Linked DNA regions of Arabidopsis thaliana. The protein of the gene in region 4 interacts with the protein of the main gene of each other region in a pairwise test. Each region holds a gene or a part of one and is shown on either strand. Other genes may lie near its edges.

The links.
Region 1: the proteins of GRF6 (region 4) and GIF2 interact in binary tests that used the Arabidopsis thaliana proteins (3 or more experiments, as listed by UniProt).
Region 2: the proteins of GRF6 (region 4) and AN3 interact in binary tests that used the Arabidopsis thaliana proteins (3 or more experiments, as listed by UniProt).
Region 3: the proteins of GRF6 (region 4) and GIF3 interact in binary tests that used the Arabidopsis thaliana proteins (3 or more experiments, as listed by UniProt).

Annotation. Positions count from the first base shown.
Region 1 is NC_003070.9:68,873-76,752, reverse strand, and holds GIF2 (GRF1-interacting factor 2), read right to left. Parts: upstream 4,397-7,880; 5' UTR 4,171-4,396; coding exon 4,084-4,170; exon of another isoform or gene 3,839-4,083; coding exon 3,737-3,838; exon of another isoform or gene 3,667-3,736; coding exon 3,590-3,666; intron 3,467-3,589; coding exon 3,358-3,466; intron 3,266-3,357; coding exon 3,013-3,265; intron 2,932-3,012; coding exon 2,870-2,931; 3' UTR 2,657-2,869; downstream 1-2,656. Other genes in the region: AT1G01180 (S-adenosyl-L-methionine-dependent methyltransferases superfamily protein), read right to left, coding at 197-1,120; AT1G01170 (ozone-responsive stress-like protein (DUF1138)), read left to right, coding at 2,310-2,415, 2,503-2,648; AT1G01150 (Homeodomain-like protein with RING/FYVE/PHD-type zinc finger domain-containing protein), read left to right, coding at 4,755-4,811, 5,032-5,712, 5,785-5,913, 6,468-6,638. UniProt on the Arabidopsis thaliana protein: Transcription coactivator that plays a role in the regulation of cell expansion in leaf and cotyledons tissues.
Region 2 is NC_003076.8:10,645,551-10,654,236, forward strand, and holds AN3 (SSXT family protein), read right to left. Parts: upstream 4,513-8,686; 5' UTR 4,071-4,512; coding exon 3,990-4,070; exon of another isoform or gene 3,838-3,989; intron 3,826-3,837; exon of another isoform or gene 2,992-3,825; coding exon 2,915-2,991; intron 2,836-2,914; coding exon 2,751-2,835; intron 2,671-2,750; coding exon 2,281-2,670; 3' UTR 1,917-2,280; downstream 1-1,916. UniProt on the Arabidopsis thaliana protein: Transcription coactivator that plays a role in the regulation of cell expansion in leaf and cotyledons tissues.
Region 3 is NC_003075.7:353,431-361,487, reverse strand, and holds GIF3 (GRF1-interacting factor 3), read right to left. Parts: upstream 4,144-8,057; 5' UTR 3,814-4,143; coding exon 3,730-3,813; intron 3,398-3,729; coding exon 3,321-3,397; intron 3,220-3,320; coding exon 3,111-3,219; intron 3,036-3,110; coding exon 2,762-3,035; coding exon of another isoform or gene 2,688-2,761; coding exon 2,560-2,687; 3' UTR 2,151-2,559; downstream 1-2,150. Other genes in the region: ATOZI1 (monopolar spindle protein (DUF1138)), read left to right, coding at 1,620-1,716, 1,795-1,940; AT4G00840 (DHHC-type zinc finger family protein), read left to right, coding at 4,383-4,571, 4,838-5,036, 5,132-5,223, 5,331-5,457, 5,572-5,657, 5,745-5,810, 5,889-6,005; LIF2 (RNA-binding (RRM/RBD/RNP motifs) family protein), read right to left, coding at 6,523-6,670, 6,768-6,853, 6,951-7,132, 7,271-7,472, 7,571-7,750, 7,830-7,970. UniProt on the Arabidopsis thaliana protein: Transcription coactivator that plays a role in the regulation of cell expansion in leaf and cotyledons tissues.
Region 4 is NC_003071.7:2,421,983-2,429,329, reverse strand, and holds GRF6 (growth-regulating factor 6), read right to left. Parts: upstream 3,155-7,347; 5' UTR 3,108-3,154; coding exon 2,795-3,107; exon of another isoform or gene 2,702-2,794; coding exon 2,482-2,701; intron 2,394-2,481; coding exon 2,075-2,393; 3' UTR 2,007-2,074; downstream 1-2,006.

The DNA.
Region 1 (7,880 bases), on a different chromosome or scaffold from region 4:
GAAGTAAAAACAAAAAAAATGATGTTTTTTTTGTTTCACCTGATCAATCAAATATTTTTTCTCATTACACAATCAAAAACCTCAAATCCATTAATTTTCAAAAGATGGAAAAAAAATATGAATTGACTATGCAATATTACACATTTTCTTATTATTTATACATCGAATTTTTTCATTCCTTATGGGAAAAAGGGAATCAGGTTACTTTGACCGAATCAATAACCCAATGTTGACCATCGGTTTTGACCTTTAACCGGTTAATCTCTGCGAACAGATTCACGGCTCTCCTCACTCCTCTATTATCCGCCGCCGTGAAATAATCGTGACCAAATATAACACCGCCGGGTCGGAGTATCCGAACCGCCCGGTTTATATCCGCCCATGCCGAATTAAAATCGTGACCCGCGTCTATCTCCACCAGGTCCGCCGTCACTCCCCACTCACACAGCTTCTCCAAAGCCGAACCGGTCGAGAAAGGAACCGGCAATATCGAACCGGAAAAATCCGAGATAACCACGTTTTGCATAAACTGGTACATAAGCAGAACGTCACCGTTAACCAAAGCCATGTCCTTAAACCGGTCTCGAAAACCGGGCCAGCCACGGAAGTCGTCGACGCATAGAATCTGAGTCTCCTCGAGCCCAAGTCGGCGCGTGAGATTCGCCATGTGTATCGCCGACGCGCCGAGAAAACTCCCGACTTCGACGATCGTCTTAGGTTTGACTCGGCGGATTAGATTCTCGAAAACGGCCCCGTATGATCCCCAACCTTTGATTCTTTTTGGCCGGAGAAACTTCTTGGCGTGCGGTGGTGGGAAATCGATGTACGGAGAAGTTCCGTTAAAGATCCGGTCAATAACAGTCTGGCGAATCAATTCCGGCGGAACAAGATTGCCGCATGGAGTCGTAACTCGGAAGTTGTCGATTGAACAAACTTGAGGTTTTGTCGTTTCCACGGCTGTCGTAGACGGTGGCAGCTGCTGCTGCAGCGGTTGATGATAGTGGTAGGCGGAGAAGTAACCAAAGGCGTAGGTTAGAACTATGACGATAACGTACGCAGCCTTGGTTTTCAAGAATTGGAAGGCGTCGCGTTTGTGAGGAAGACGACGATCCTCCTTCATGGTCAAGATTTCTGAGAATGAAGAATCAAGTAAAAACAAAATAGGATTAAGGAAGGATAATTGTTTTTGTTATTAAGTTTATATAATTCGAATTATGGAAATTTATTTATGATTATTTTGGCGGGTCAGTTTGTTGAGACGTTTAAATACAGTCGGATAAGGAAATTGCTCACGTCGTGATCTAATTTATTTGTATTTATTTGACTTTACGTGTCTAGAAAGCTACATGTGATGTAGTCATTTACAATCAAAATCATTTGCTTTAATCCTTGACTTAATTCATTCTGTATTTCGGGTTTTATGAGTTTAGAAAAACCATATAAAACAAAAACTTATTTAACTCCCCTAGACCTATTAATAAATGAAACTACGAATCTCTAATCTTTAGTGTATTTACAGTTTTCCAACGAAATCATATGTTATAACACGACACGACCTCAATAGTCAATAATAAGTAGAATCATGTTTTGAACATGTCAAATGCAGCACTGATTCGAAAGAATAAAGAAAAAAAGAGTTTTGAATCGTAATTCTGCAAGAATTAAAGTGTAGTGTTTAATATATGTGGCATTCGCCGAGATCATCTTATAATAGAGTATGTGTCATACGCCGAAAACAATGTTGGACACTTGGACCTTTCCTTACTGATAAATAAATAAATTCATATCAACTAGCAAATTAGCATATTACAGGTTTTGGTTATAACAATTACTCGAGCTAGACGTATGATGAAATTCAGCAAACTAGTAGATTTGCTATTATATCTTCCCTTGTGATGATTGTAGTTTTGTCTCTTAATAAAACTAGTAATTAACGTTTCAGAAAACAATGCCCATTTTGGTAATTTCACAGAGATTTATCCAAAGTTTTTAAAGAGATAAGACGATAGAGTTGGACGACCGTCTTCCACCGTTGAATTCTTCTGGAACTGGAGTCCACTGTTTAAGCTTCACTGTCTCTGAATCGGCAAAGGTAAACGTATCAATTATTCTACAAACCCTTTTATTTTTCTTTTGAATTACCGTCTTCATTGGTTATATGATAACTTGATAAGTAAAGCTTCAATAATTGAATTTGATCTGTGTTTTTTTGGCCTTAATACTAAATCCTTACATAAGCTTTGTTGCTTCTCCTCTTGTGAGTTGAGTGTTAAGTTGTAATAATGGTTCACTTTCAGCTTTAGAAGAAAATGGCATCAGGAGGTAAAGCCAAGTACATAATCGGTGCTCTCATCGGTTCTTTCGGAATCTCATACATCTTCGACAAAGTTATCTCTGATAATAAGATCTTTGGAGGCAAGTTCTGCTCAAGATTTATCTAGTTTTGTGTGTGTTTTCAAGTTAGGGACGATCTTAATGGTTATCTTCTTGTGAAAATTTCAGGGACTACTCCAGGAACTGTCTCTAACAAAGAATGGTGGGCAGCAACGGATGAGAAATTCCAAGCATGGCCAAGAACCGCTGGTCCTCCCGTTGTTATGAATCCCATTAGCCGTCAGAATTTCATCGTCAAGACTCGTCCGGAATGAGAAAATAATAAGTTCAATGCTTTGATTTTCAGAATAAGATGAACGATGACGATGTTTTCTAAATCCGAGCTTGTACTAAATAACAATACATTACAACACGGTTTGCGGAACTACTCCACAGTCTATCTTCTGTTAAAAAACTCAAACAAGCTATTGCAAAAAGCCCTTACGAGACTCACAAGTCCTAAATATCAACAAAACAAAGCTTCTTTGGATCCTTTTCACTTGCCATCATCTTTTCCTTGTCCATCTGCTCCATCTTGCTTTCCTCCTCTAAGCCCCACTGTTAGCAAAGAAAGAAGTAATGGATACAAGTTACAATTTATGAGATTGAGTATTGTCTTAATAATGTAAAGAGAGTTACCGTTTCCTCCAAGACCGGTTTCTGGTTGTTGCATCGCATGCTGCATCCCGTTGTTGGTCATACCCATTGGTCTAATCCCCATGTGTCCTTGCATAGCTTGCTGATGTATCTGCTGCTGCTGTTGCGGATCCTGAAACTGGAGTGGGCTACCAAACTGTAAAGGACCCCTTGGAGCGAAAATCCCTGCAGGGGATGCTTGTGGGTGTTGCATGAAGTAGCTAGGTGGTTGCATCCCAGAATGCGGTGTTGCCATCTAACAGAAATCATACCCAACAGTAAGCAAACCCCCAAACAACATTAAATTTCTGTGATAGATCGCAATTGAGTTTTATCATCACAAACAACCTGGGCAGCGACAGCTGTAGATGGTGAAGGTCCTGGCGTAGGTGGTGGGGGTTGAGCATCAGCAATTGCAGCAAGATACATCAAGTTCTTCTGGAGAAGAGCTTGGTACCTGAAAATATAACAGAGCAAAAGATAGAATAACTATATAAACCTCACCATTAATAATAGTAATTCTAAGCTTCCATTACTATCTAAGAGACATAAGAAGATGGATAGAAAAGGTGAGACTTACTGGGCGCACTCAGCAAGTTTACCGAGATTCTGGTTTTCCATGATGGCCATAATCAGCTTCTTGTTCTCATCAAGGTACTGCGTTTAAGCAAAGGAAAGAGAATGACAAGGAAATGACGATGCAGCCTATCATCTTACCATGGAAGACATCAAGCCAAGAGAAAGTACAAAACAACAACATCAAGCAAGCATCTAACTTCAATGTCCATTCTTGAAAACCGGATTCAAAGTTTCCTGACCCACCAAGCATCTACTAATTTCCTAGTCCTAGAAACTGTCTCTTCTCATCATCACCAACAACAGACTCTCAAGTGTTGTGGAATTAACGAGAAAGATTCAAATGAAAACCCTAATTGCCACCAATTACAGTCAAAAGAGTATTACTTGCACTCAGAAGCCAATGATTTTGTCAGTACAAAAAAGCTCTAAGAGCCTCCTAAGTAGTGTTGAACAAATTAAGAGAGAGGGAGAGATATAGGGTGAGAAAGAAGGAACCTTTTGGATCTGTTCGGTAGTGATGTTGTTAGCAGGGGGAATCGACGGAACCATCGGAAACATTTGCGGAGACTGCTGCTGCTGCATCTTCTTCTTCTTTACTACTTACTTTGCCCCAACTAAACCCTAATTTCGTCTTCCCCAAAAAACCCTCGACAAAACCCAGACCGATCCAAACGCAGGAAATGATTGCAAGCTATATCTATATATATTATAGAGAGAGAATCCTGCAATTTATTACTTGGATTCACCTGGATGTCGAACCACCTCTGTGTGGATTTTATGACCAAAAATGCCTCTGTCTCTCTCTCTCTCTCTCTAATTTGTCTTTACAAAACTCTAAACGAAAACATAAAACATTAATTAATACAGCAACGAGCAACCTCTAACCAAATTAGAAAGTTTTGGATATATTTGGGCCAATGGGAAAAAAGGACATATTTGGGCCTAAGACGGTTCTAAGGCCCATGGACCATCGAGAAAGTTACATTGCAAAGTACTACATTGAGTCAGTTTCTTCCTTCTTCGCCTAAATTCGAAATTTCGAAACCTCAGACACACTTACAGAGAGACCAAACGGTAACATACAGTAGCTTCTTTTTCTTATTCGTTAAGAAATCTCACGTAAACCCTTCGAATTTCTCAAATCTTCACTCGGAATCTGAAAAAAAATGGTGAGTGATCTCCCGCTTGATGAAGATGATATCGCTCTCCTCAAGAGTCCTTATGTAAGCACCCCTTTTAGAAGAAACCTTTAATTTATTTTTTCTCGAATTTTAGTCTTTACTCGGATGTCGCTTGTGATACGTTAGAGAACAATTTGATATTTTTTACTGTGTAATTAGAACAAATTATGTCTTAATTGGTCTTAGATAACCTTAAATTGGTCGATTTAGTTCAATTTTGTGTAAACACTCTTACTTGGATTTATCTTCTTCTCTATCTTAGATAGGTGAAATTGTTGAAGAAATTGGCTTTGTGAGAGAAAAGCGCATTGCTCATTGTATTGTTCAGTGTGATGATGGTGGTGATGAGGACGTCAACTCTGCTCCAAACATTTTCACTTATGATAATGTGCCTCTTAAGAAGCGCCACTACCTTGGGACAAGTGACACTTTCAGAAGCTTTGAGCCGTTGAACGAACACGCATGTATTGTATGCGATATTGCAGACGATGGTGTAGTACCTTGTTCTGGGAATGAATGCCCTCTCGCTGTTCACAGGAAGTGTGTTGAGCTTGATTGTGAAGATCCTGCAACCTTTTACTGTCCCTATTGTTGGTTTAAGGAGCAAGCTACTAGATCCACGGCTTTGAGAACAAGGGGTGTTGCAGCTGCGAAGACCCTTGTTCAATATGGATGTAGTGAGCTGAGGAGTGGAGATATAGTCATGACGAGAGAAAACAGTCAACTAGAGAATGGTTCTGATAATTCACTACCAATGCAACTACATGAGAACCTTCATCAATTACAAGAACTGGTCAAGCACCTTAAGGCTCGAAATTCCCAGTTAGACGAGTCAACAGATCAATTCATTGATATGGAGAAATCTTGCGGAGAAGCTTATGCTGTTGTTAATGATCAGCCAAAAAGGGTACTATGGACAGTCAACGAAGAGAAGATGTTGAGGGTAAAACCACCACACTTTTTTCTTGAAATACACTTTTAGCTTAAACTTATAGTATATGTTTATTTTGGATAGGAGGGAGTGGAGAAATTTTCTGATACAATCAACAAAAACATGCCTTGGAAGAAGATTTTGGAGATGGGAAAAGGTATATTCCACACAACTCGTAATTCCTCCGATCTTAAGGACAAATGGAGAAATATGGTGCGTATGTGATTCCTTTCACCATAAAATCCTTAGAAGTATTAAATGACGCATTTGATATCAAAAACATTAAGACAAATCCTAGTGACCTTTTGAATTGGCAGTATAGTAGTGTGACGACTTTGATGTTAGTCCTTCCTTGTAATCGCAGTTTCGGATTCCTCCGTGTAGATCTTTTGGTAACAGTAGTCCTTATAGATGATGTTCGCTTTGTATCCCTTATGTTGATATTAAGAGAAGATAACGTGTCTTTTGTAGTAGCCGTCCCACTCTGTTAGTCTTTTGTTTTGTACCCTTCTTTAAACAAAACAGAGGATTGAGAAAAAGAGAATCATATGGGAATTATGGATATAATTTTGAAGAACTTAAAAATAGGTTAATCTTTTAAGACTATGGGGAGATAACTTGTCGCACAAGTACCAAATGTTTCGGAAACAAAGGTGAAAAAATCTACAAACTTAACAATAAAACCACAAGTCTTCCATTTGTACGGAGGTTAATAATAATTAATACCAAATAAACGACAACACTTGAAGTAGTCAAAACTTTTATAGAATTATCTTGATTTGGTTGAGGTCGAGATTGACATCATCATCGTCGTCGCAGAGATCGGAGATCAAAATGGAGAGGGAAAGAAACGCAGGAGTGATGAAGAAGATGAGTCCAACAGGAACCATCCAAAGATTAGAATTTGTGGGATGGTATTTGTAAAGCCAATAACTTAGAAACAATCCTCCACATATATTCACAATCATCGAATACAAGAACACCATTGACGACGTACTCTTCTTCTCCTTCCTTGTCCTCTTCTTCATATTCGTGTTCATGCTGCTTTCGTGGTTCATTTGCAAGAGGATCTAAACAAGTTATGATTCGCCTTTTTATTAATTAATTTACTGGGAGTTAGGTGAAGTGAAAGAAAAGATGGATGACAATAATAGATTCTATATTGTTAGAGTGTATGAGTAAGTAAGTATATATGCAGTCGGGTTCCGGTTCGTGTAGGTCGGTTTAGAAAGTATATTTCAATTAAACTCGGTTTTTAGTCGTTTTTCTAACGAAATGTGTTTGGTTTTTAGAGATTATTTATGAGCAAAACTGAGTTTGTGTTTGGGTTTTAGATAGGGTACCTAAAACTCGATTAAACATTTAGACCAGTTTCCAGCTGGTCCGACTCCGATTTAGGTTGGTCAATGTATGAAAGGCAAATCTAAACATAAGACACATTTTATGTTATGTATTACTAAATTACTACAAAAAAAACTCCTACAACTCCAAAATACACAATGGTTTAGATTTAGATATACATGTTTTTAGAACTAAAATTATTGAGGTATTTTATAATAGTACTCCAAGTTATAATTTCTGTTACGAGGCGAGAATAAACGTGGGAGAGGAAGGAAAAAAAGGTGCCGTGCGGTGCAACTAGATTTTACATATTTGTACACATATTTCACGATTGAATCTTTCAAGACATTATATGCTTTATCAAATTTTATATATATAACAATTAGATAAGAAACACAATCTGACCCGACTCTACTATTTATAATTATACGTATGAATCTCTAACTTCGTTACTAAAACGGCAAATACTAAACCCTGAAAGGAAACTGTGTGAGAAACAGTTAGGCCCCTTGACCATCTTTGTTCAACGTTGTCAACGAAAAAAAAATGGAACCATAAAGGATAATTAATTGTATCACAAAAAGACAAACACAAATTATTGAATATACCATCACTTATCAGTATATAATTTTATACAAATGCTTTAAATAACAAATATTATGTAGAAAAAGAGAAAAGAAACTTAACTTGGTCAATTTGATCATTTGTGTAAACGATGATGCGGAACATATGCGATAATAATGTTATTGGATGGCAAAAAAAAAAAAAAGTATTTTAGTTGGGCCCTAATGTTAATTCACAATCAAGCCTAAATTTGGTTAATGGGCCAATCTTTCTTA
Region 2 (8,686 bases), on a different chromosome or scaffold from region 4:
AGATCCATCGTTACCCTGATAATCATCATACCCATCACCGTCTTCATTGTCCCCCTCCTCTTCATCCTCATCTGTTTTATCGTCTTCAACGTCGTCTTCCTCATCTATGGCCTCATTATTTTCATTAACATTTGAAGCACTATCACACACACGGTCACTTTCAGCATCGTCACCATGAGTCCTAGAGACATTATTCCCGAGTGTCTTGACGGTTGTAATGAAAGAGACAAACAAGTTGAGAGAAGGATACCGACCACGAATCAAAAAGAACGTATCCAATCCCACTTGACTATCAATGAAGACAAGAGGGCGTTGAGTATCTATCATGACTAACATCTCTCCCGACATCTAGTAACTAATTATGGGATTGATCTCTGTGGACTTAAAACTGAAAGCCTCGCTTAGTGTACGTACAAATTCCGTGTATGTAATGTTTTCCTTAATACGCACACAGCGACCAAACATGTCTTCCTTTGGTTTAAATTTCCATTCTTCTTCTTTGCATCTCCACTCACCGACCATAGTAAATACGGGAATATCCATTACCCAACTGCATCATAAAATCAAGAGAAACCCATTAAATGCAACTAAAAACATGATTATATCTACAAAAACAAATAGAATTTCGATATACACACTTATAAACATAAATATTTACACATTTAGCATTTTCAACCAACAAAATTGGAAATAAAAAATTTCTGGGTTTTTCTATAAAAAACAAAGTTGATTTCGAACACAATGAAGATCATAGTGTGTTATAACAAAAAAATTCTTTAAAACTTCATTACTTACACGATAATGATTATCTTGGCTCCAAACTTCGTAAATAAACAAGATAAACACTTCTTGAGCATCAATGTACGTTCGCAATTAATGTTTTTTCCTGGGTTCATTTTTAACTCAACAATTATTATCAATAATTTTATAATATTATAACATGTAATAATGATTTTGCATTAATTATAACAACAGTCACGTCTAAACTTTTTGGGCCATTAAATGTTTATGTCACTTCGTTTTTAATAAAAAAAACCTCCCTTCTAATTGTACAGCTGCACTCCTCAACGTGAAACAAAAATATCTTCAACTAAACCGGAACAGTGTACCTAACTAAACCTGACTAACTAAACTGTACATTCAACAGTTTCTTAGCTCTAGCAGCAAGGGCAAAAGGGTCAAATTTCAGCTGAAAAGACAAAACGTGAAAACCACTTTTCACTTTGTCAATCTCTGAAAATAAAACATGGTCAAAGGGTGTGGTCCGCAAATTACCCTTTATAATACCATGTCAATGTGAACAAAAGAAGAAGAATAATGTGTTGGTCATGAGAAGAAGATATGACAAATCTATCTAGTTTTCGAAATAGCGCACTACCAGTTAGACAAAAATGAAGTCTAGTAGAGCAGGCATGAAGCCAACATGTCAAATACATACTTGGGGCCTATGGTGGTGCGGTCTAAACATTTAACTAGTGTTTGTGACATATTGTTTCAAGGCTTATAGTTTTGCCAAAGGGAAGGAAGTAATAGAATAACTGAAGACTTCTCTTGGCTTGTGATTGAGTTGTAAAAAGCAGGGGCTGGGCTTGGCCTCCTAGGGGAATCCAGACACTAGAAAAACAATCGTCGATGGAACTCTCAACTAAGGGAAATCCACACTCAATACTACTTGAAGAATCTAGGACGAAGCAAAGGGACCAAAAGACACATTTTTGAAACCCTCTTTTCTTCACGAGACTTTATCTTAAATGGACCCGAATATGGTCTTTGGTTTGAGTGCAGCTTCGGGTGGCTATGGTCCGGTCTTCAGCAGTATGGGACCTTGCGAGGACCACTAAGGCTGGTCATATGAGTCTTGGACTGAACCGGTTGGACTTTATCAACTATAAAATAAAATTATGTATAACAGCCAGAAAAAAAAAACAATAATATAGCCTACATAACGATTTAGAATCCAAATAGGTAACATCAATGATCTACAAAACTTCAGTCCTGGTTAAAGCAAAAGAGTCTAACTCAGAGAAATAACATATTAAGATTACGACACAACTTGGAGCCAGCAGATTTACATGGTACACTACCACGAAAGAGGTTCACTGTTTTAGGGAACAAACATAGAGAGAATAACAAAACTAAAAAGAAGTAAATAAAGAGTTCTTTGCTTCTTCAACAAGCAACTAAAACCAAAACACACTAACTTCAAGACTCCTATTATTACTACTACTTCTTCTGCTGCTGCTGCTGCTTCATCATTAAGATTCCTTGTGCCACACTCTTTCAATTCCCATCATCTGATGATTTCAAGTAAAGGGTTTCTCCACCATCCCCTGAACTTCCTCCTCTGCCTTCACCGCCACCACCACTTCCCATTTCCGGCTTCCCACGGCCAAAATCATGAAACCCACCAGCCTCTCCCTGAAGGATATGGAGACCACTGCTTCCTCCTCCTCCGCTGCTCGAGCTCATTCCAAGCTGGCTATGGTGCAATTGCTGATGCTGAAGCGTCGCGTAAGGCTGCTGCTGCTGCTGTTGCTGAGCATACAACATTGAAGATCGAGCCGCCATTAGAGACTGCTGAGTCATCTGTTGCTGTTGAGTCGCTTGTTGCTGCTGCAAATAGTGTGACCCTCCTTCTCCCTGAATCATCCCACCACCAGCAGATCCATACTAATAACCAAACAAAACAAATCACTTTCTCAATTGATCATACAACAAAATTTGGAATACTTCACTGTATAAACAATCACCTGGCTATGCACACTTGGTGGCTGAGGCTGAGAATCTGCTATTGCAGCTAGGTACATTAGGTTGCGTTGAAGCCTTGCTTGATTCCTATAACCATTTTAATCATCATTTCTTGTTACTCAACAGAACACAAGTGAAATCATAAAGGAGATATGTTGTCTCTTACTCGGCGCATTCGCTAAGCTTTCCAGAGTTTTGAGACTCAACAATCTTCAGAATCAACGATTTGTTTTCGTCCAAGTACTACAATCAAACATTTTCATTAATCATTACTAATGCTACAAACAAAAAATTTGCATACTATTTTGTTTTTGTTGTAATAAAGACATAGAAAATCTCAAAAGGAGACCCCAGTAACTTAAATTCCGACTTATCTCAAAAGACAATAATGTTGAAATATCACAAAAGTGTAACGAAAGATTTTCTTCGAAAAGATTTTGAGGACCACACAAAAAAAAAACTGAGATAAGGACCAGATGTTGTTTCGGACCACAAAGTATATCTGGTCATGTAAGCAATAAAAGAAACACTTGGACTGGAAAATACACATAGATCTACTTATAATGATAACAAATCTAAACAGGACCACCCACAATATTCACATAAATGGCTTTGTGGTTTTTGCCATCAATGAAACTTCCAGAACCCGAAAACCAAGACAAGAAGAAAAAACGAGATATGTGAAACAAATCTTCAGTTCCCAAGATTTGTCTGTTTTGAACACGTTATTTTTCATTACATGTTTCAAGAACTCAAAACACAACTGGACCCTAAACATTCATTTTCATTGAAAGAAAGAATCTTTCTTAACTTTGTCTGGTTTTAGACATTTAATTAGCATCAAAGTTAACTGATAATACACCAAATCTATAAGGAAAAGAAAAAAAGTTGAAAGAATCATCTTAGTGACCAAAGCATCTCTACCAACCAAATTTATCAAACATAAACACACATGTATTAAAACTAATTTCTCTATGAAAAAAAAAGACATGGAAACAAGAATAACAAGAACTCTTTTACCAAACAAAAAAGAACCAATGAAAAAAAATCATCTATGTTATGAGAACAGAAGAAAAGGGTTTCACATACTTTTTTATATAATATAAAGAAAAAGTTATAAGGTACTTGCAAGAGAGATTTCTTCACTTTCCTTTATGAATTCAAAGAAACATATAATAAAGAAAAAAGAAAGAGATAATATAATAGAAGAAGAAGGAGAAGGAGGAGAAGGAGAAGAGAACCTGTTGGATATGATCAGAGGTAACATTGCTGGGGTAGTAACCAGCCATCATGGGCTGCATCTGCATCAGGTGCTGTTGCATTTCTTTTGCTATTTTATATAAAACCTGATAATTCCTTCTTATTTATTTATATATTTTATATATATAAGTTTTTATAGAGACAACCCCCACCACAAAACCCAGAGGAAAAAGAGAAGTCTCACCAAGTGAGAGAGAGAGATATTAACTTTTGTATCTGTCTCTCTCTCTTTCCTCTATGCTTCTGTATATAGAAAACTCTTAACTATTGAAGATGTGTATCTCTGTGTGTGTGTTATCTCGCTTTCTCTCCTCCACAAAAGTTGTTTTGCGTTAAAAGACTGAGAGAGACAGTGAAGTCTCTTAAATAGAAAGAGAGAGAGAGAAGAGAAGAGAGTGTTTTTCTCTTTTTCTTGGGTTTTGGGGTTTGGTTTTGTTGGTTTCTTTCTGTCTCATCCTATCTCTGTCTCTGCGAAGAAGAGGAGGTCACGTGACGAGTCATACTTTATTATAGAGACGTGAGACCTTTACATATATACTACTACTTATCAATATGTACACATTGTTGATTAAATTATTACTTTGAAGTTTGAACCCTTCGTATATAGAGACGTAACTATATACCAAATAATACTGTTTACTCCTTCGTATGTATATACGGTGTATTTACTTGTATATATATGTAATTATGTATATTAAAATCTCTTACAACTTTTGTATAATATTTTCTACATTTATAGATTCATTTCGGGATTTTATAATAAAGTAATGCAAAGTAGGATTTATTGTTTTCTAGATTGTTTTGGTAATTTATTGTTTTCTAGTTTTCTAGTTTTCTTTTACTATATCAAAGAATATTTTTGTCGTCTTATTTTGTTTTGGTAATTAATATATAAAAAAAAGATGTCTTTAGTTTTTCGAAAAATAAGATTCATGTATTTACATTTTAATATAAAAAAATGTTCTACATAGGAGTTTTTAACCTAGTGGATTGAATTTGTATTTTTTTAATAATTTATTATATTTAGTTTTACACAACATTTTTTTTACAATGGTTTAATTTTTTATCATGAGAGGTCACATCTAGATGCGATTCTTCACATTTAAAATAAAATGGATTAATGAAAAAATTAGATTAAGAAGTAGCTATGTGAGATAATTTTCTTTGTAGATGTTTGATTGTGTTGATCAAAAGAGTCTCTTCTCTCTTATACCTTAAAATCATATTTATAGGATTTAATCTCAACCAAATTACTGAATTATGTTGTGACTTAGTCTTCTTATGCGGATTAGATTTGGCATAACTAGTTCCCTAGAACATGTTATCAAAACAAGTGTGTTTGGTTTGTTAGCTTAATGATGTTTTTCATTTTGTTTTAAAAGTAGCGCATGACTCGTCTCGTCTCATCACTAACCATCTTTATGTGTTTTGGCAAAATGCCAAAATGTAAACACATTTCTTACGCTTACCAATAGTTATCTTCTTTTTTTTTTTGGTCTTTTTTTTTTATCGAATCACGTAACACATTATAATTGACTGATATCTTAATAGATGAAATTTATCCTCAACAATGATCAATACATGTTTCTTTTTTTTTACATATGTTAATACTAACTCGATCACTTGTCTCGACCAATAAGACGAGTTATCGACCATCAAAACACTGCCCTAACTTGGTTTGAATGTTTAATATTGATGATTCTCAACCAAAGGGTCTCTAAAGTTTTTGAAATGCTTTTGTAAAGAAAATAATAATAATTAGTTTGGAGTTATTTGATAAGTCTCATTAACTTTTTGTTCGAATTCTTGAAGTACGTTTCGATGGTCGGTAATTTAAAAAGAAAAAGATTCAACAGCTATATTATCTTTGCGTGGTTATACTTAATTCCACGTTAAACCCTCTTGTAGATGTGGTTAAATATTAATTAACACTTTATTCGTTGGTACCAAAAATGGATCCGAGATATTCCTTCTGCATATATGAACCACGGAGGCTCAACTTTTAATGTTTGTTTGTTTAACTATAGTATTATGTATGAACATTAAAGTAATCTGTAAGGATAAATGAATTGTTTTCTTTTCCCGATTAATTATGTCTTATAGACAATAACCAAACCAATAGTGTTTCTATGCCATCTAAAAGCAAACCAAAAACACTAGGAACAAAACTAAAAATACCATTTCTTCTTTTTTATCAGACCAATATAGTTGTTTGCATACTGTAAATTGAGATTATGAAGTTAAAGGTAGGATTCTGAAACGCTTACAAATGATCAATTCATTTTGGTTAATACCTAAAAGAAATATTAAATTTTTACGACATTAATTTTATACTACCTTATTTTCTATATAACAGCCATAAATTTTATAGTTAATGTGAGGTTGATGTTGAATCCTCTTACATAGAGAAAAGTGTTGCAGCAACTTGTAACTTATTATTGTACTATCTTTGACCGATTAATATGAATATTCACCAAGATATTGGAGAACTTATAAATAATGAAACTTGCAGTTTTTGAGCTGAGATATTTTGTGGTTCTGGGATACATGAAATTACGTACTAAAATTTCTTAGTAACAATAAATGAAATGTTATACGTATAAAGTGGAATCACGTTGAACAAGAATATGTGCGTCGATCTTTTAAAGACCGCTTCTGTCCAAATAATACTTCTTGTCAGTTATGACATCACATTGAGATTCTAATTACCCCCACGCGCTTAATTTCTTTTTCATCCTATGCTATCTTTTAATAATACTGATTTGTTTTGTATTTTGTTTTCAGAAAAAGTGTAAGAAACAAAAAAAAAGAAAACTGAAACTGATTTCTTTTTTCACTTTACTCGCGAGGAAAAAAATACATAGTTGGAAATAATTAACGTGGTTATACCAAAAATGTGTTGTATCGTATACATTTTACTTGACCAAAATAGATTTTCTTCTGCTATATAAAGTAGAATAAAGTAAACAGAATCATTATATTATAGACTTATAGTTTAAAGTGAGCAGAGCACGAAAATTAAATGAGAAAGACACATTTTACATGCAAACGAAACGACCATAACAACAAAACTCCGATGTGTCAAACATGTGATGTCCACGTATATTTTATGTCTTTTCTTGCCTAAAATTTGGCAAGTTTTGTTAATTGTCGGTTTATATAACTAATGTGAAATGCTTAATGGCAAGTGACATTGCTATTGGGTTTCAGTTTCTAATATAAAAAAAACAAGAATAATCCACCTATTTTTCCTCTCTCTTTTCATATATCTAAATGTATTTTAGTATGTAGATGCAGTCTCTTTACCAAATGTTAGATTCTACGTCTGACAAGAAATATATGCAAACATGCTCTATATTGAATACTGTTATCTCAAAATATTATTATTTTCTTTTTTGGTATTCCACCTACCAACAGTGTAATGAAATTTTTAACTATAACATATAAAAGAAAATATTATTTCAGTTAACAAACTTTGTGACTAATGACTATTTGGTGTAGTCCTGCAACTGTTCTTCTCATTTTTGGATACCCAAAAAGCTTTTGAAGCTTAGGGTGCCTGTTTTAGGTACCGAAAATGTCATTTCGTTTCAGGTGCAATTGTGATTTAAGTGTGGAAATAATGCGAATTTGGAGCGATACGATCAGTTAATATTGTGAATGAAGATACGATTTGGGTGCGATGCGATTACATCATATTTTTTAAATGGCAAAACGATTTAGATGTGATTTGAGTGTGATTAGATTTTTTTTTTTTTACCAAATTAGCCTCTACTTATATTATTTTTAGTTTCTTTTAATTAATATAATTTATAATATATGCTTATAGAAATATTTTTTAAAATAAAACATATATCAACTATATTTATAAATCAACATCTACTCACCAATTTTAACAAACTATAATATAATTTTTTTTTACAAAAAAAAAAGAACACAATAATGTTTGCTTCTCCTTATTTCTTTTCTTTTGCTCTTCATGTTTCTCTTCTTCTAGTTTTTTTTTTTCATCCAACTATTTATAAAAACCGAGAAAAACATGCTCGATCAAACCATATAACTTCGAGATATCCAAAACAATTTGCAATCTCGTTTTGAATACCTAACATGTATGCATCTCCAATAGGATCATATCTATGGTTTTGAAAAACTGCATTTGGATCCACGTTTTTTGATTCGGTTGTAGGGTCTCGACCACTCCTATTTGTGAGAATCCACGTCCTCTCTCGGATTCGTGGGGTCCATTCCTCTCCAATGGTAGATCCGTTATGTTTTGGAGGCTTTAAAAAGTTGTTTACCAATCATACAAATTACCACATGATATTTTTCCGTGTTTTGTCTTCGTTCATACGTTTCTGACAATTACTTTTCAATGACAAAAAAAGTAGGTTCAGATTTTTCTTAGAAAATATCAAAATTGTTAGTCAATTAATTAATATTTAGAATTATTAGAAATCATTCTAAAGGATGAACCGCTTCAATATTTCTCCGAAAAGCGCCCACATGGGGAAGCTCTACCACCGACTACACCCAATTTGATGTAGACTTGAATCCATCTTGGCTTATATATCTTGAGCAAGAGGAGCGTGATAAAGATATTAATTCTCGAATAATTGGAGAAAATAGAGAGAATTTAGAGGAAAAACATGGACATCGATGATTACGATACGTTACTTTA
Region 3 (8,057 bases), on a different chromosome or scaffold from region 4:
TTTTATTTGATGATCATGGTTTTATGTTTTTCTAAAAGAAATTAAAATATGTTATGCAACAAACTATCATGTGTCTATGTATACATAACCTATGATACAATATAGTTTCGACCTTAAGATTAAGTTTCTTTGACAGAAAGTCAGAAACAGTTATCTTTCACATGATCCCTTCTTCAATCCTGCTGCAACGATGTAACGGTTATGCAAAAATTTACTGATAGGTAAATCACATGAAAAATGGCCACATGCAAAAATTATGCCCGGTTCCAACTTCTAGGTTAATATGGTACTCAACAACAAAAAAAAATATTAACAATAAATACGTGTTTGTCTTCTTCTTCTTTATAGATGTTTCACTTTATAAATAGACTGTAAGTTTTTAAAACGCAATAAGAAAAACAACTGAAATCATTTTAGAAATCTTATGCGTGCAGAATAAATATTGGTGTTATGTGCATTTGAAGCTTTAGGCTTTAGCACTTTCTAAAACCTCGTTTTGAGCAAAGTCATTCAAAAGGAACTCTTAATATTTTTACAAATTGAAATAGCAATTGTAATTTAATCAGTAAAACCTCTATAAATTATCATGTTTATTAATTTATAGAGACAATATTTGGGCTAAAATATCAATTTGAGAACGGAAGAAAATTATTAATTTAATGAGATATTAATTTATTGAATATTAATTTATAGATTTTTGACTGTATATATTCTAAGCTTTGTTTTAAGAAAATTTAATCCGTTTAAAAAGATTTATCTTCATTAACCCCAAAAGAAATGATTTGTTTTAGCTTGGCCAATAGTCATGTATGGCCCAATCTGGTATAAAATCTCATAAAAAGTTTTATCTTCATTAACCCAAAGAAATGATTTGTATTAAGATGGGCCAATAGTCAAGTGTGGCCCAATTAGGAGTAAAATCTCATAAACGAAATGGGCCCATAATGGCCCAATATTTGTACACCACAATCGGAAACCCCTTTTGGGTCATTTCAAGTTTGACGAGAAACGTAAATCGCTATTTCTTCTATTCCTCCCTAAAAATCTACCAACGAGATTCTTCTCGAAAATTTCCTGCGCCTCTCCGTGTCTGTGAAATCGATTCAGGTAAATCACTCTTCTCGAATCGATGCTTGTTTTGTGAAATACCGATTCTATCAGATCTATTTGATAAATTTGTTGTTGTTGTTAGTCGTCTGTGTAGTTTATTCACCTTTTGTTTCGATTTTTGGGTCCTCACGAGATCTATGAATCGTTATCTGAAACAAAACTCGAAACTAGCAGATGATATGTTATTTAGCGCGATTAGGAAGAATAAAACGAGATTTGTTGGTAGCAGTGAGTTTCTTAGATCGGTTTTTTTATCGATTGTGTGAAAAAATTCACCATTCAGATGCTTTTATTGATTTGTGTCTTCTATAATTGAATTGAATTGTTTGATTCAGCAGCTTAATTATCTAATGGTTTTATGTGATTGTATTGGCTTGATTAGGGTTGAATATGCCTTGAAACTTCATTTCAATCCCACTATACACTATAGCTATAATCTGATATAAGTTCGTTTTCTCCTTTTGTGTGGCTTGATTATGTTTGATATATCTATGTACTTCAGGTTAAGGATGTCGAGAGCTACATACATTATCGGTGCCCTTGCGGGATCTGCGGTAGTAGCTTACGTGTGTGACAAAGTTATTTCTGATGATAAGCTTTTTGGAGGCAAGTTTTAAACCTTATAAAGCTACTTATGATGTATCCAGAAAGCTAAATTTGGTTTGGTTTGTTTTGAACTCTCAGGTACTACACCAGGAACTATTACTAACAAGGAATGGGGTGCTGCGACTGAAGAGAGATTACAAGCATGGCCAAGAGTTGCTGGTCCTCCCGTCGTCATGAACCCTATCAGTCGCCAGAATTTCATCGTCAAGTCACGTCCTGAATAACTTTTGATGCCTTCTCGTGCATCGTTCTCATTCGTTATGGATTCATTTTCGAATATCTGCTCTTTTGTGTTTGATTTGAGGATCGGCTGATTGCTCTAGCTGGTTATAGTAATAATTTGTGTTGATGCGTAACACATTATTCGGATCAAGCTTTTCCCCGATGCATAACTTTTGTAAGGTTTGTTGATTTTGACGATAAATGAAATCGAGCCAAAAAGAAAAACTTCTAAGACATTATTGGTTTGTTTGGTTTGGAATTTTGTTATCGCTGATTCTGTAAACATTTTTAAAACTGTTACTTTTCATCTCAAGCCTTGGAATTAATTATCACACAAACCTGGAGGCAAACTATCAGGTAAACGTGATTCTAAACCCGGTTCATACACCAAATTGAACCGGTGACACTAATACCATACAACAACATTTAACATTGTACATGTGAATGTGAACCATTCCACATCCATCTAGGAACTGAAACTCAACTGTCTCAGAACCCTTTTAACAGAGACTAACTCATAAAATGACAAAACCTTTTTTTTATATCATCGTGAAGAAAGTAAAAATGAAAGGTAGAACCTAATTGATATCAACAAGAAGCATCACTTATTCTTCCTCTATTTCATTTTCCTTCAGTTTTTGCATCACCACCGCCATGTCTAGCGGCTGAGCCACCTTGCCCATCAGCTCCACTCTGGCTCATATTGGTCCCATCCGGTTTACCTCCTCCACTAGCATCGTTAGGACCCGCTTTTGGTAGAGAAAGAAGGTGAAAATCAGTAATGTGATAATAAGTTCCAAACTGCTGTAAAACCAAATATTACCATTGTTTGCGGCAAGAGCAGTTTCATGGTGGTGCATTTGATGTTGCAGTCCGTTGTTATTATTCAAACCCATTGGTCTAATCCCCATGTGCCCTTGCATAGCTTGTTGATGTAACTGTTGCTGCGGATCCAGAAACTGATGCGGGCTACCAAATTGCAATGGACCTCTAGGAGGGAAAATCCCAGGAGGTATTTGTTGAGCCATTCCCACAGCTTGATGTTGCTGCATGAAGTAGCTTGGTGGTGGCTGCATTGATGACGGATTAGGAGCCATCTACAGAAACCAAACACACACAAACTATAAGAACCAAAATGTTTTGTTTTTCAACTGATCAAAACAGAAACTTACTGCTTGGGGAGTCATGGCTCCTGATGTTAGTGTAGCTGCTGGTGGCTGAGGTTGAGCATCCGCAATTGCAGCGAGATACATCAAATTCTTCTGGAGAAGAGCTTGATACCTAAAAGAATCAAGCAAGAACCATGTTTTATTATTAATATTCTATTTACCATCAGTAAAGCTAACATAGCTCGGTCTTGGTATCGAGAATCCCACACTTACTGAGCACATTCTGCAAGTTTACCGAGGTTCTGATTTTCCAAGATCGCCATTATCAGCTTCTTGTTCTCATCAAGATACTGCAAGAAGCAGCAATAAGTGACTCACTGTGTCAACATGTCATCTTCACAATCTGATTTTAAGCTTTCAAATCTCATATGCATACAAATACTCTGTTTTCACTCAAAAAAAAACTCCAAACTCATGATTGTACATCCAATTCCAGTAACAAAAAAAAGTTAAAGCGGAAAACAATGACACTTTAAAACAAATCATACTCAAGAAGGAAAGTTCATTACAACAGTTTAAACTACTCAAAAACATCATTACACAACCAATTTCAAAGCTACGATAAACAGACATTATGACTAAACAACAGAAAGACAAAAAATATAGAAAGTAAAGTAGTAACCTTTTGGATCTGTTCGGTGGTGATATTATTGGTGGGCGGAAATGAAGGAAGAACCATCGGAATCATCTGTGGAGATTGCTGCATCTTTTATAATTCACCAATCAAAACTCTGAAACAGTGAAACCCTAAAGTTTCTTCTCACGATTATTACAAAACAATAATTCTGAGTGATAGAATTGGTTTAAGAGCCCAATGCAAAACAAACTGATGCAAAAATATTCAACAAACGAATATTTTGGATTATCCTTAAATTTAAGACTTTTGATTTGTTTGAATTTCGCCGACGAGGTTTCTGGGAAATCGTAGGACAAAAAAGTCCCCCAACCAATTAATTTGTCTCCCCCACCGAATGTACACGTGGCACCTTGTCTGATTTTTCGTCAGCTCTACGATAACCAAAAAAAGACAACATTTGTAGCTGTTATTATTTATTGGGCCTGTTAATGGGCCTTATAAAGAATTATGAAAGCTTCTGTGTCAAGAAGAAGGTTACTTTAAATCTGTATCAATATCAGCTCCACGACGGCGATTCGTCGTTGTCCTCCGAACCAAGCAAACTCCGATCCCTCACCGTGGCTCCGGATATTTTACGGCGGTTGTTCCCGGCTCGGACTCGAAGAATTGTCCGGATTCTCCCTTTGACCAGGCTGGAGATGAACCTTTTCCGGTTCTGCTCCGGTCTGAAAGTCCTCGGCTATTTCATGATCCTTCTTGTCGTCGCCGTCGTTGGTGTATCTTACTACGCCGTCGTAGTTAGCACATGGTGGCCGATCTTGATCCGCGGAGACCATGGAGCTTTATCCGCCCTCGCTGCCTTAATCATCTTTGTTTTCCATTTCCTGGTAATTTCCAAGTCTCATAATTTCAGATTAGGTTTTGTTTCTGGAATTGTAAGTCTAGGTTTTCTGCTACTTAACCCCTAAACCTTAAACTTAGGGATGTGGCATGAAACTTATGTAGCCAAGAGAATGAGAAATGCAATGTAGTTATGAAGCATGAAGCAGTGTAGATACATAATCATTGTTTAGACCATTGATTGTTAGTAAATGTTTAGGCTCCCTGAGTTTAGGTTTACAATTATACTTCTGATTTGCTTGGTTCTTTGCAGCTGATAATGCTGTTGTGGAGCTACTTCACAACAGTTTTTACAGACCCAGGTTCTGTTCCTGAGCATTTCAGAAGAGAAATGGGAGGTGGTGACAGTTTGGAGGCTGGTACTTCGACAGATCAAGGAGCTTTTGGCTCTTTAGGTTACTGTACCAAATGCCGGAATGTTAAGCCGCCTCGTTGCCATCATTGTTCTGTGTGTAAGGCGAAATCTGATTTGTTTATACTATGTTCTGCTTGTGTTTCTACTGATAGAGAAAGAAAGCTTTATTCGGTTCTTTGTTTCCTTATGTAGGTCAAAGATGTGTTCTTAAGATGGATCATCATTGTGTTTGGATTGTAAACTGTGTTGGAGCACGCAATTACAAGTTTTTCCTTCTCTTTCTGGTAAATATTCATTTCCATTGTAGTCTCTTATGGTTCTTAAAAGGTTTAAGCGAGCATTGGGATTATTTGATTTGCTGATTTCTTCACCCTCTTTTTTTAATTTGTAGTTCTATACTTTTCTTGAGACAATGTTGGATGTTATTGTCTTGCTTCCTAGTTTCATTGAATTCTTCAGCCAAGCTATAAAGCATTCTTCTTCTCCGGGTAAACTGGCCTCTCTCGTTCTGGCATTCGGTGAGTATAAACGGTTCTTTTTCTCGTTTTCCTTTTCCCAGAAAGTGCTTAGCTTTTTTCTGGGTCTCATTTTCCGTCTTTATGTTTCTTACAGATTCTATCCCCTTGATGCAGTTCTTAACTTTGCGTTCGTTCTCAGCCTTCTTTGTTTCGTAGTCATGCATATTTCTCTTCTCTCATCCAACACTACTTCAGTTGAGGTAAATCTTTTATGTTCTTGCTTTCACAAACAATCTAAGTCTTGAAAATATGAGTCTCTTCTCTGAATCATTGTCTTATTTTTTTAGGTTCATGAGAAAAATGGAGAAGTCAGATGGAAATATGACTTAGGAAAGAAGAAAAACTTCGAGCAGGTGAGATTTTATTGTTTTCATCATTCCATGGATTGTTAGTTAATTAAATATATAACTCTTTGTTTTCATCTTGTGAAGGTTTTTGGGAAGAAGAAGGCGTTTTGGCTCCTCCCATTGTACTCTAAAGACGATATCGATAACATAACTTCCCTTGAAGGCCTTGAATTTCCAACTTGTTCTGACATCGACCCTTGATTGAAAGTTGAAACAAAATCAATCAATCATATTCGAAACAGCCTTCAACTGCACTCCAATGTAGATAACTCTCTACTCAAAAAGAATTCTCATTGCCAATTGTTGTTGTATTATTGTAATTGATTTGATTCATTTCTTTGCTTCTTGTTGAAAGTCTAAGTTCGTTTGACATCTTCAGACTGTAATGTTATGTGATGAGACCCAGTGATAACTTGTTGTATAAGTAAACAACGTTGCACAAGGGCTAGGGAAAGCAAAAACACCAAATCTGATGGATAATTGATAAGAGTATTATTCAGAAGAGAAAAAACTAAAAAGTCTCATAATTTAAAGATCGAATCACTCAATCCTATCCCCCCAGCAGTCTCCATATCAAACCAGAAACCATAAGGTTTCGATTTCATATTTTATAACACATGAGAGAGAGCTTTTTAAAGTTCTCCAAAAACAAACTACAAACAAATCCCAATACACTTCTCCTTTTCTTTTTCTACTTGCTTATTTTTCTCTATGGTTACTAGTAGGGTCGGTACCTTCGGCCTCCTCGGTTACCATCATGTTCATGACTGTTATCTCTGCCTGACCCTCCGCTTGAGCCGTTATTCCGGTCATTTCTTCTTGGTCGTTGTGGTGGTGCTGCTGCCATCGGCATACCAGGCTGTTGCCTGCACAGCAATCCATATTGGTTATTTATTAAGCGAAAGTAAATATGAATCAATAGAGAAGGATCAACAAATTTGTTTACAAGAACCATCGACTTACAGAACATAGCCAACTCGGCCATCGGGAAGAAGCATTGGAACCATTTGCATCCCTGTTGGCATTGCTCCTCTACCATAGATCATTGGCTGCTCAATGCAAAATTAAAACCAAACGTTACACAAAACAATGGCTGATAAGACTAGTCAAGGATGACAAACAGCTCTTTCTTAGAAACATATATACCTGACTAAAACTACCGGCAATACCCAAACCGGCACCCATAGCACCGTAAGGAGCCGCAGCAAAACCACCAAACGTGGGATGCACAAAGGGGGCAGGAGTAGGTGCAGCCCCGTAAGAATAAGAAGAAGGGTCATGCTTCCTTTCAGCCTGGGGTTTAGCAAGCACAACTTCTAGTGGTTGACCTGTAGTTTGCAAGTTTGTGGAATGTGTTACTCAATAACATCTCTTGAGACGAAAAAACATACGCCATTAGAGACAAATTGATAGCATAACGTTCATAATACTCAATAGCTGTCTTCTAGATGACTAAAAAAACTTACCATTGACTTCATATCTCTCGGTATCTTTGACAGCCTTCAATGCACTAGATCTTTCAGCATAGTGGACAAACCCAAAATCACGTTTTCCACCCTTTCCAGGAGGTGTAACGATTTTGGTCACTTCTCCATGCCTCTGAAAGAGTTCCTTTAGCTGCTCTGTTGAGGTATTCTCTGGAATATTCTTGACATAAAGGGCTTTCACCTGAGTATATAACGCAAAAGAGATTGTCAAAAAAGTGCCAACTTTGCCAGGAGAGAGGTTTTTGTGCAGATTGACTAAACCCTCTATTTAAATAATACCTGAGCAGCAGCAGCAGAATGCTCAGGAGAGCTTTTTGGGTCTGCCCAAGTCACAGTTGGAGCGTTACCCTCAAGCTTAAAATTAGAATCTATCATTTTCTGTCTTGAATAATCAGCACATGCATTGTTATAGTACAAAACAAATGCAAAACCACGGTTACGAGTGGTATTTGTTGGGTCCTACAAGTAACAAGAAGATAATTAGTAAGGCAATTAAGTAAGATCAAGCATGGCAATCAGATTGATTAAGTCATCTAACTTTTATGAGCTCGATGTTCTCCACTCCAGGACCAACATCCTCTATGACTTTTCTAAACTCATCCTCAGTCCAGTTCTTTGGTATGTTACCAATGAACAACCTATTCTTCGTTTCGGAAAGAGAGCACCTTATGGTTTTTCCCTGTACAAAAATTAGGTATAGGTTAAACAAAATTGTTATAAGTAAAATGCAAACTAGCAATGACCGATAAACTTAAGCTACAGTTAG
Region 4 (7,347 bases):
ACAAATGCAAAACACAATGTCACACTAAGTCTGTTTTGGTGAGTACAGGTACCTACTTCGGGTGTAAGGCGAAGAAGGGCGTTATCGTCATCAGACGAAGAAGGTGAATTAATGGAGGAGAGTCATCCAAATTCAAGCCCCCAGAAAGAAAAAGAAGAGAGCAATGGGGAAGCTGGTGATCCTAACATGGAGGAAGAAGAGGAAGAGGAAGAGGCCAATTGAGAGATATTTCATACATAACAACAGATATCTCTTGTGTGTTTGTAACTTTAGTGACAAAGATTTCATTGATTCAATTTCTCTAGTAGTCAGAGTGTGAAGACAATTTACATTCACAGGCCAAGGATGATCAGTTTGTATTTTGGGTTATTTGGATTGAGCCTTGTTTTTATTTGCTATTGTTACTAATAGAAAAGCTTTTTTCTTTTTCAATGTTTTTAAACCCGACCCGGACAGTAAATCGGATTACCTTCTGGATCACCAGGTCATGGGGTCAACCGGGTTGGACTACGGGTCAATTGATTAAAATTTACTTAATATACTTAATGTCAATAGAAATTACTTAATTTTCATAAATATAAAACAAAAATAATCATATCATGTTTAACAAAATATGAAATCAAACAATAATAGAAAGTGACTAAATTTTTCAATCCAACTAGCAGTCTAAACCCGTAACAAATATATTAGGAGATCATCAATGACGAAAATAAACTAATAAAACATATATCTCGAATTCAAACAACTAATCTCGGTTGTCTTTCTCACCAATTCATTGATTTTCTTAAAGCAGAATTATGAAGTCTTCACCAAAATCTAAAATATCAAATGAGATAAAAAAGTGAAAATAAATTCCAAAAATAATTGAATAAAGCTCAAATATTTTTTTTCAAACTCAAACATTTTTTTTTCAAACTCAAATAGTCTAAAATGCTATATTTAATTCCAAACTCAAATAATGTTTTTAAAACTTACACTCGGCCGGTTCAACCGGTTGACAGAGTCACAGGTTAAGGCGAGTATTTTCGAGTTTGAAATTGTCGGATATTAGCACTAAATTTAAACAGAAAAGTGTCTAGATCGCGGATTAACCGTCTAACTGGACGGTACGAGTCGGCCGTAAAAACACCGGTTGAAACAACTTGATACGTAGTCAATGGTTAATGAAAGCAAAATAGTAAACTAAAAATAAATAAAGAAATAAAAAATACAGAAGAGTGTTGTCAGAAGGAAGTGGAAGAGTCAGAAACGTGGGTGTGTGTGTGTGTGGTCTTGAAGGATTTGGTACTGTTTCTGCAGTTTCTTCTGTTCCCTTTTACTTTAATTTTTCTTTTGGGTTTTTAGGTTTCATGTTGCTCTCTCTCTCTCTCTCTCTCTCTGTAGGATCTCTTTCAACTTTTCAGAACATATTGACTGCAATTATAGTTTATAAGCAACAAAATTACACGCACACACAAGTATAATTTGCTTTATGTCATGTACTCATGTGTGTGAGTGAAGAAATAATAATTCAGTTTGATGAGAATAAGAGAAGTCGTCTTTCTCTCTCACTGAGTCAGAGCAGAAAGCTTTTGATTGGGTGTGTGGCTTTTTCAGACCTGACCAAACTCAGTCAGGGAGCAGAACTCAACTCAACTCAATTGCAAAACCTGTCTTTTTTTTACTCTTTTCTTATTTTCTTCATCATTTTTTTCTATAACATAACCTTTAAGAAAAATTATTTACTGTTTTAATTATAAAAAAAAACTATTTACTATCCACAGTAAATAGTTTAATGAACAAGTTTCTGACAAAAAGAATCAGAAATAATTAATTACAGAAACATGAATTGATAAATTTGTTGCTAATCAATGACTTAGTGACATCGTACTATCACTAATATTGACAAGAGATGAGCAGAAACAATTTAAACATTGAAACCAAACTAATATAACTACTTTACACAAGTTAAATCTTTTATGCTAATATAATGCATGGATCACAAAAAGAAACTCCTAATTAAATTAGACAAAAAAAGAGAGAATTTGCATTACCATCTTAACAAGAAATACAAGGTTATAAGAACAAAAGATGATCAAATGAAGAGTGAAGTAGAAACAGAAGATTTAGAAGAAGGCCATTCATCAAGAAACCTATAAAACCTCTTGCTTCCTTGCTCTTCTTCATTATCATGATCTCTTTGTTTCAGCTTCTCCTCTAACATCAATGGCCTCTCACGTGTCCTCAAGTCAGTACCAAGGATGAAGCAATGTCGATCCGGCTGCTTCTCCTCGTTGTTGATGCCTCTACATGAGCCATCATCATTATCTTCCATTGCTGAGCCAGAGCAGCTTTTGATTGACCCGGAAGGTTCTATGGAGAAGAAATCATCCATGTATCCACTTCTTCTTCTTCTACTTTCAAACATGTTTTGAAGATAAAAAATAGTCAATCATTGTGTTGTCATTAGAGTAAAACAGAGGAGGAAGGTGTGTTTGAAACCTGGAAGAAGAGTCGAGAAAGAGATTTGGAGTGAATTGAGTAGGAGGAGGCTTTCTTGAGGAAGAACGGTTCTTGCCTCTATGCATATGTCTCTCACAGTACTTAGAGTCAGGGTAAGCTTCTTTAGAGCATCTCCATTTCTTGCCATCAGTTCTTCTACATCTTCCTGGCTCTGCATCTATCTTTCTTCCCATTCCCATCTCATACACATTCCACCCAACTGAAAAAAAAGAGTCAAATTCGTTTACATTATCACCAAACCCTAAGGATAACCATCATAGAGCACAAAGCAAAGAAGATAAAGTGTGCTTACAGTGTGGAGAAAGAGTGGGAGAGAAGAAGCTTGAAGAAGAAGATGAAGAAGAAGAAGAAGAGAAGAGAAAGGGTCTTTTGATGAGGAAGAGAAGATGAGGTGGAACAGGCATATTTGCAGCTAAGTACTTGAACACAAGAGCTTGGTTTTCAAGTTCTTCCCATTGTGATTCTGTGAATGGAATCCTTGTAGCCATGAAGAGAGAAAGAGAAAGAGAGATGAAGAAGAAAGAGAGATTAAAGATTGGGATTTGTATTGGAAAATTGAAAGTGTAAGAGAGTAGTAGGTATGTTTTTATTGATAAAGTGTCCATTGGTCACCTGCAGTCTGCAGAATCTCTGTGCTTCATGTCCTCTTCTTGTTTATTATTCCTTTTTCTTATTTCTTAAAATTTTCTTTTCAGCTTTAGTTTTGGTTTTATCTTAAGCACCATTTCAGGTTTTTCTTTTCCTTCTTAAAAGCTAAATTTTGTGACAAGGGGCATAGATAACTTATGTTTAATTTATTTACGTATTATATTCAGGAGTTTGTAACTTTTGTTTGCGTTTAGAAAAACGAGAAAATTTGGTAACCGAAAAGAGAATCTACCAAGTTACATACGTATACGTAAACAATATCCTTCGGGATTGACTCTATTAAGTTCTAATTATTTTTGGTTGACAAAAAAAAAATCTAACAAGTCATGAAACTTAAGAGGTAAAGTTGTGTACAAAATAATAAGACATTAAAAATTTCAGCTCTAATGTTGGGTTGTTATGATATCTTTTGAGTCATATAACTTATATCTCAAACTTTAGTATATGTGAGAAAGAAAAAATAAGAAAAAAAAAATACTTATTTGTGAAAGAAGCTTGAATTTAACCCTACAATATTTAAGATGTTTTTAGCATTTATATTCGATCCTAAATATAGTAAGTAAATAGCCAAGTGAGAGGATTTATGTCCCTCTTCTATTCTTCTTAATGTTTTAACTATAAAAAAAGAAACATGTAAGCATATTGCAACTATTACAAAGATCGTTATAAAGGTTTAGCTAACCACAAAGAACATTCTCTTAATCATTCATTATAGTATTAGAAAATAAAATGAAAGAAGTCCAATTGTAATGAGTTTATAAATTTTGAATTATACCAAATCATTATTTTTGTTCTTCAATCAAATAAACCGTATCGTGTAATGTGACATCTTTGGTTAGATAGACGACTCGTAGTACTCGTAGCTCCAACACATTCGACATTTATAAAATTAAGTGTACACGGTCCACTTGTGTTAAAAACACTATGCATGAATAATAAATTGTTTTGAATAAAAAATATTTATGAGAATAGAAGTAAAAAAGTTTGAGAGAGAGAGAGGGAAAATAATGAGTGAGTCTGCAAACTCTGAAAACTTCTGCACTCTCTGCGACTCTTCCCTTTCACAGCTCTCACTCACTCCCATACACACCCATCACTCATGCCACATCTCTTTCTCCCTCTTTTATTTTTGTTTTCTTTTGAATTTTTCTAAATTATTTTATATTTCTCAAAAGAAAAAAAACTGTGATTATTTTAATTATCTTTTTTCTTTGTTAAAGATTATTTTAATTATCAAAATTTAAAATTTTGTTCATGCCTATGTAAATAATTCATTTGAAGTCGGTCATCAAATGAAGTTAGACCCAATGCATTAACAGATGGTGGGGGTTTGTGAAAAAACCTCAGAAACTTACACTTCATAAAAACATGATTTATTTTCTTAGGAAAACCTCTAATACTAAAAATACATCTAAATTGATCATATAAATCATGTTTTTTATCCAAAAATATATAAGGTTGATAAATTAACTATATTTAAAAAGACTATATTTGAGACGTAACGATTTAAAAATATTTAGGCAGTTTTTTTTGAAAGATTAGAAACGATTATGTTGAAGTTATAAATAAAAGGTGTTTCACATAATACATACTCATAAATAAAGTTAATAGCATCTTAATCGTCTTCAATTTCTCTTTTATATATGAGACCGATTAATTTCCATGTAAAGATTATTTAATATTGACGGGAAGCAAAACATAAAGAACACTAAGCACATTAACGATGTTACTTAAAATTTTAAAAAGGAATATAAACAAACTGTTTTATTTGGGTAATTATGATTACTTTTTTCTTCATTTATTTATATAGAATTAAAATACTTACGGAGTCGGAACCTCTAGGAATAGCAATCACTATGCCTAAACATGAATCAAGTTCGCAAGCGTCGAATTTGAAAGGTTGAAACTTTGGAAATCCACCAGATTAGAGAAAAACTCTCTGCTTTTATTAATTAAAATGATAAAACGTGTCGAGCAAAAAACTTAGGGTCTTTCTATATATAGAGAAGAAACCAAATCATAAAATAGAAAACTCTAAGCAAAATAGAAAACTTGAAATAAGGAAATATGAAAAGAAATGTAAAACTGCTAAATCTCTCCTACATCAGTCTCCTCCACCTCTGAAGAACTTGTCCTCAAGTTCTCTTCTGGATAAAGGACCCCGTCTGCATGATACTCATGAATGTCAGCTACGTTGAAGGTATTGGAAATGTTCATTGATTTCGGGAGAGCCACAACATAAGCATTATCATTGATCTTCCGCAACACCTTAAACGGGCCATACTTGCGAGGCTTTACCTTGTTGTACGTTCCAACTGCAAATCTCCCTTTACGAAGGAGCACCATCACATCATCACCTTCTTTGAAAACTTTGAATCTCCGACGTTTATCAGCAGCGACTTTGTTCTTTTTCCCGGTAGCCTCTAACTTAGCTTTGACAACTTCCTTAACAACTAAAATCTCTTCAGCCATAGTTTCAGCTGATGCACTTACCCAAGAGCCTTTGGTAACTTAACCAAATCAACCACATGTACAACACTGTTGTAAGCAAATTCTATTTGAGGCAAAGCTAAATCCCATTGCTTTGGATTATCCCCGCATATACTTCGAACCATATTTCCCAAGGTTCTATTAGTTACTTCGGTTTGCCCGTCGATTTGCGTATGAGGTGTAGAACTTCGATTAAGAGCTGTTCCAAACATCCTCCACAGAGTAGACCAGAAATGACTTAGAAACTTTGTATCCCTATCCGAAGTGATTGACTTAGGAACCCCGTGAAGGCGCACTACCTCCTTGAAAAATAGTTTGGCTATGTTGGATGCATCAGCGGTCTTCTTGCATGCAATGAAATGTGTCATCTTGGAAAATCTATCAACTACGACAAACACAGAATCCACACCCCGTTGTGTACGTGGCAATCCCAACACAAAATCCATAGCTAAATCTTGCCAAATATCATCACGAATGGTAAAGACATATAAAGACCAATATTTTGAGATTGACCTTTGTGGGTTCTGAAATCCATACTAGAGATTTGTAAATAGATTTATGAGAAAGGAGGGCTAGATCTTCACAAGAACTTTGAAATTTATATTGCTGAAAACGAATAAACTTTTGTATTGATGATAGTAGAGCTTTTACAATGTAGAATGAGATTACAAGTGTAAAGTATAAGTGTAAGTGTTAAGCTGAATGTATATGTCTTCCAAGTCGTCCTTGCTTCCTTACATAGATCTACGCACGTGGGTAGCTCCATCCGAGATCCGCGGGGATATTCTCCTGGATATTCGGCAGGTTAGTTCCGAGATATCAGGTCCGCTCCGCGAATATCTCCTGGTCAGTTCCTAGGTTGTTATTCGCTTATCTCCCTTCATCAGGTAACTAGGCTTATCAGGCCCAAATACCTAATCTGTTCATGGGCTCCAGAGCTGCGCAGGTCCTCTACTTGGTGGGCTTAGTGGGCTGGCATGCTATTTTTGCAGGTGGATTCCTGGAGAGAAATCCAGCTCCAACATTTGCCATCCAGCCCATTGAGTAAGTAGGCGAACTCGATGAACGGACACCTAAGCCAAGTAAGATTGCGAAAATATTGTAGATAAGGTAGTAGATACGATAAGATCAATCGGTTCTGAGGATAAACTCAATGAAAACGGTATAATCTTAGATTCTTAAACCGAAAGATATCGAGTAGATACGCGAGGTAAATCGCGGGTGACGTGGACGGTCGAGATGACGCGTCTCTTCAGCGCACCGCATCTAACGGCTCAGATCAGGCGCGGGGAAGAGATCTCTACAATCTCAAAAATCGTGGTGATGATGGCTTCTTTAAATAACTTCCCACATCTCCACTCGATTTCACGTCAACTCACACGACTCCCAAGGTAACTTCTCTCCTTCTCAACTATTTACTGCCTTTAACTTTTGTTTTTAGAGATAGAAACTCTAACTTTTCTTCCGCTATCTCCTTCGTACTTTCTCTGCTTTCTCTCTTCTTTCCTTCATATCGATCGTCTCTCTTCTTCAAAATCAAGAGATGAGTGACTTAGACGATTCCCAGAACAAGAGCAATCACAGCTATGGCGACGACGATAGTTCGTCAAAGATGAGGTCGGCGGCGTCCTCGCGGCAGGAACCCAGGCGCGTCATAACCCTAGGCGGAATGGGTCCTATCCGAAGGCCATCGACCAGAGTCGACAA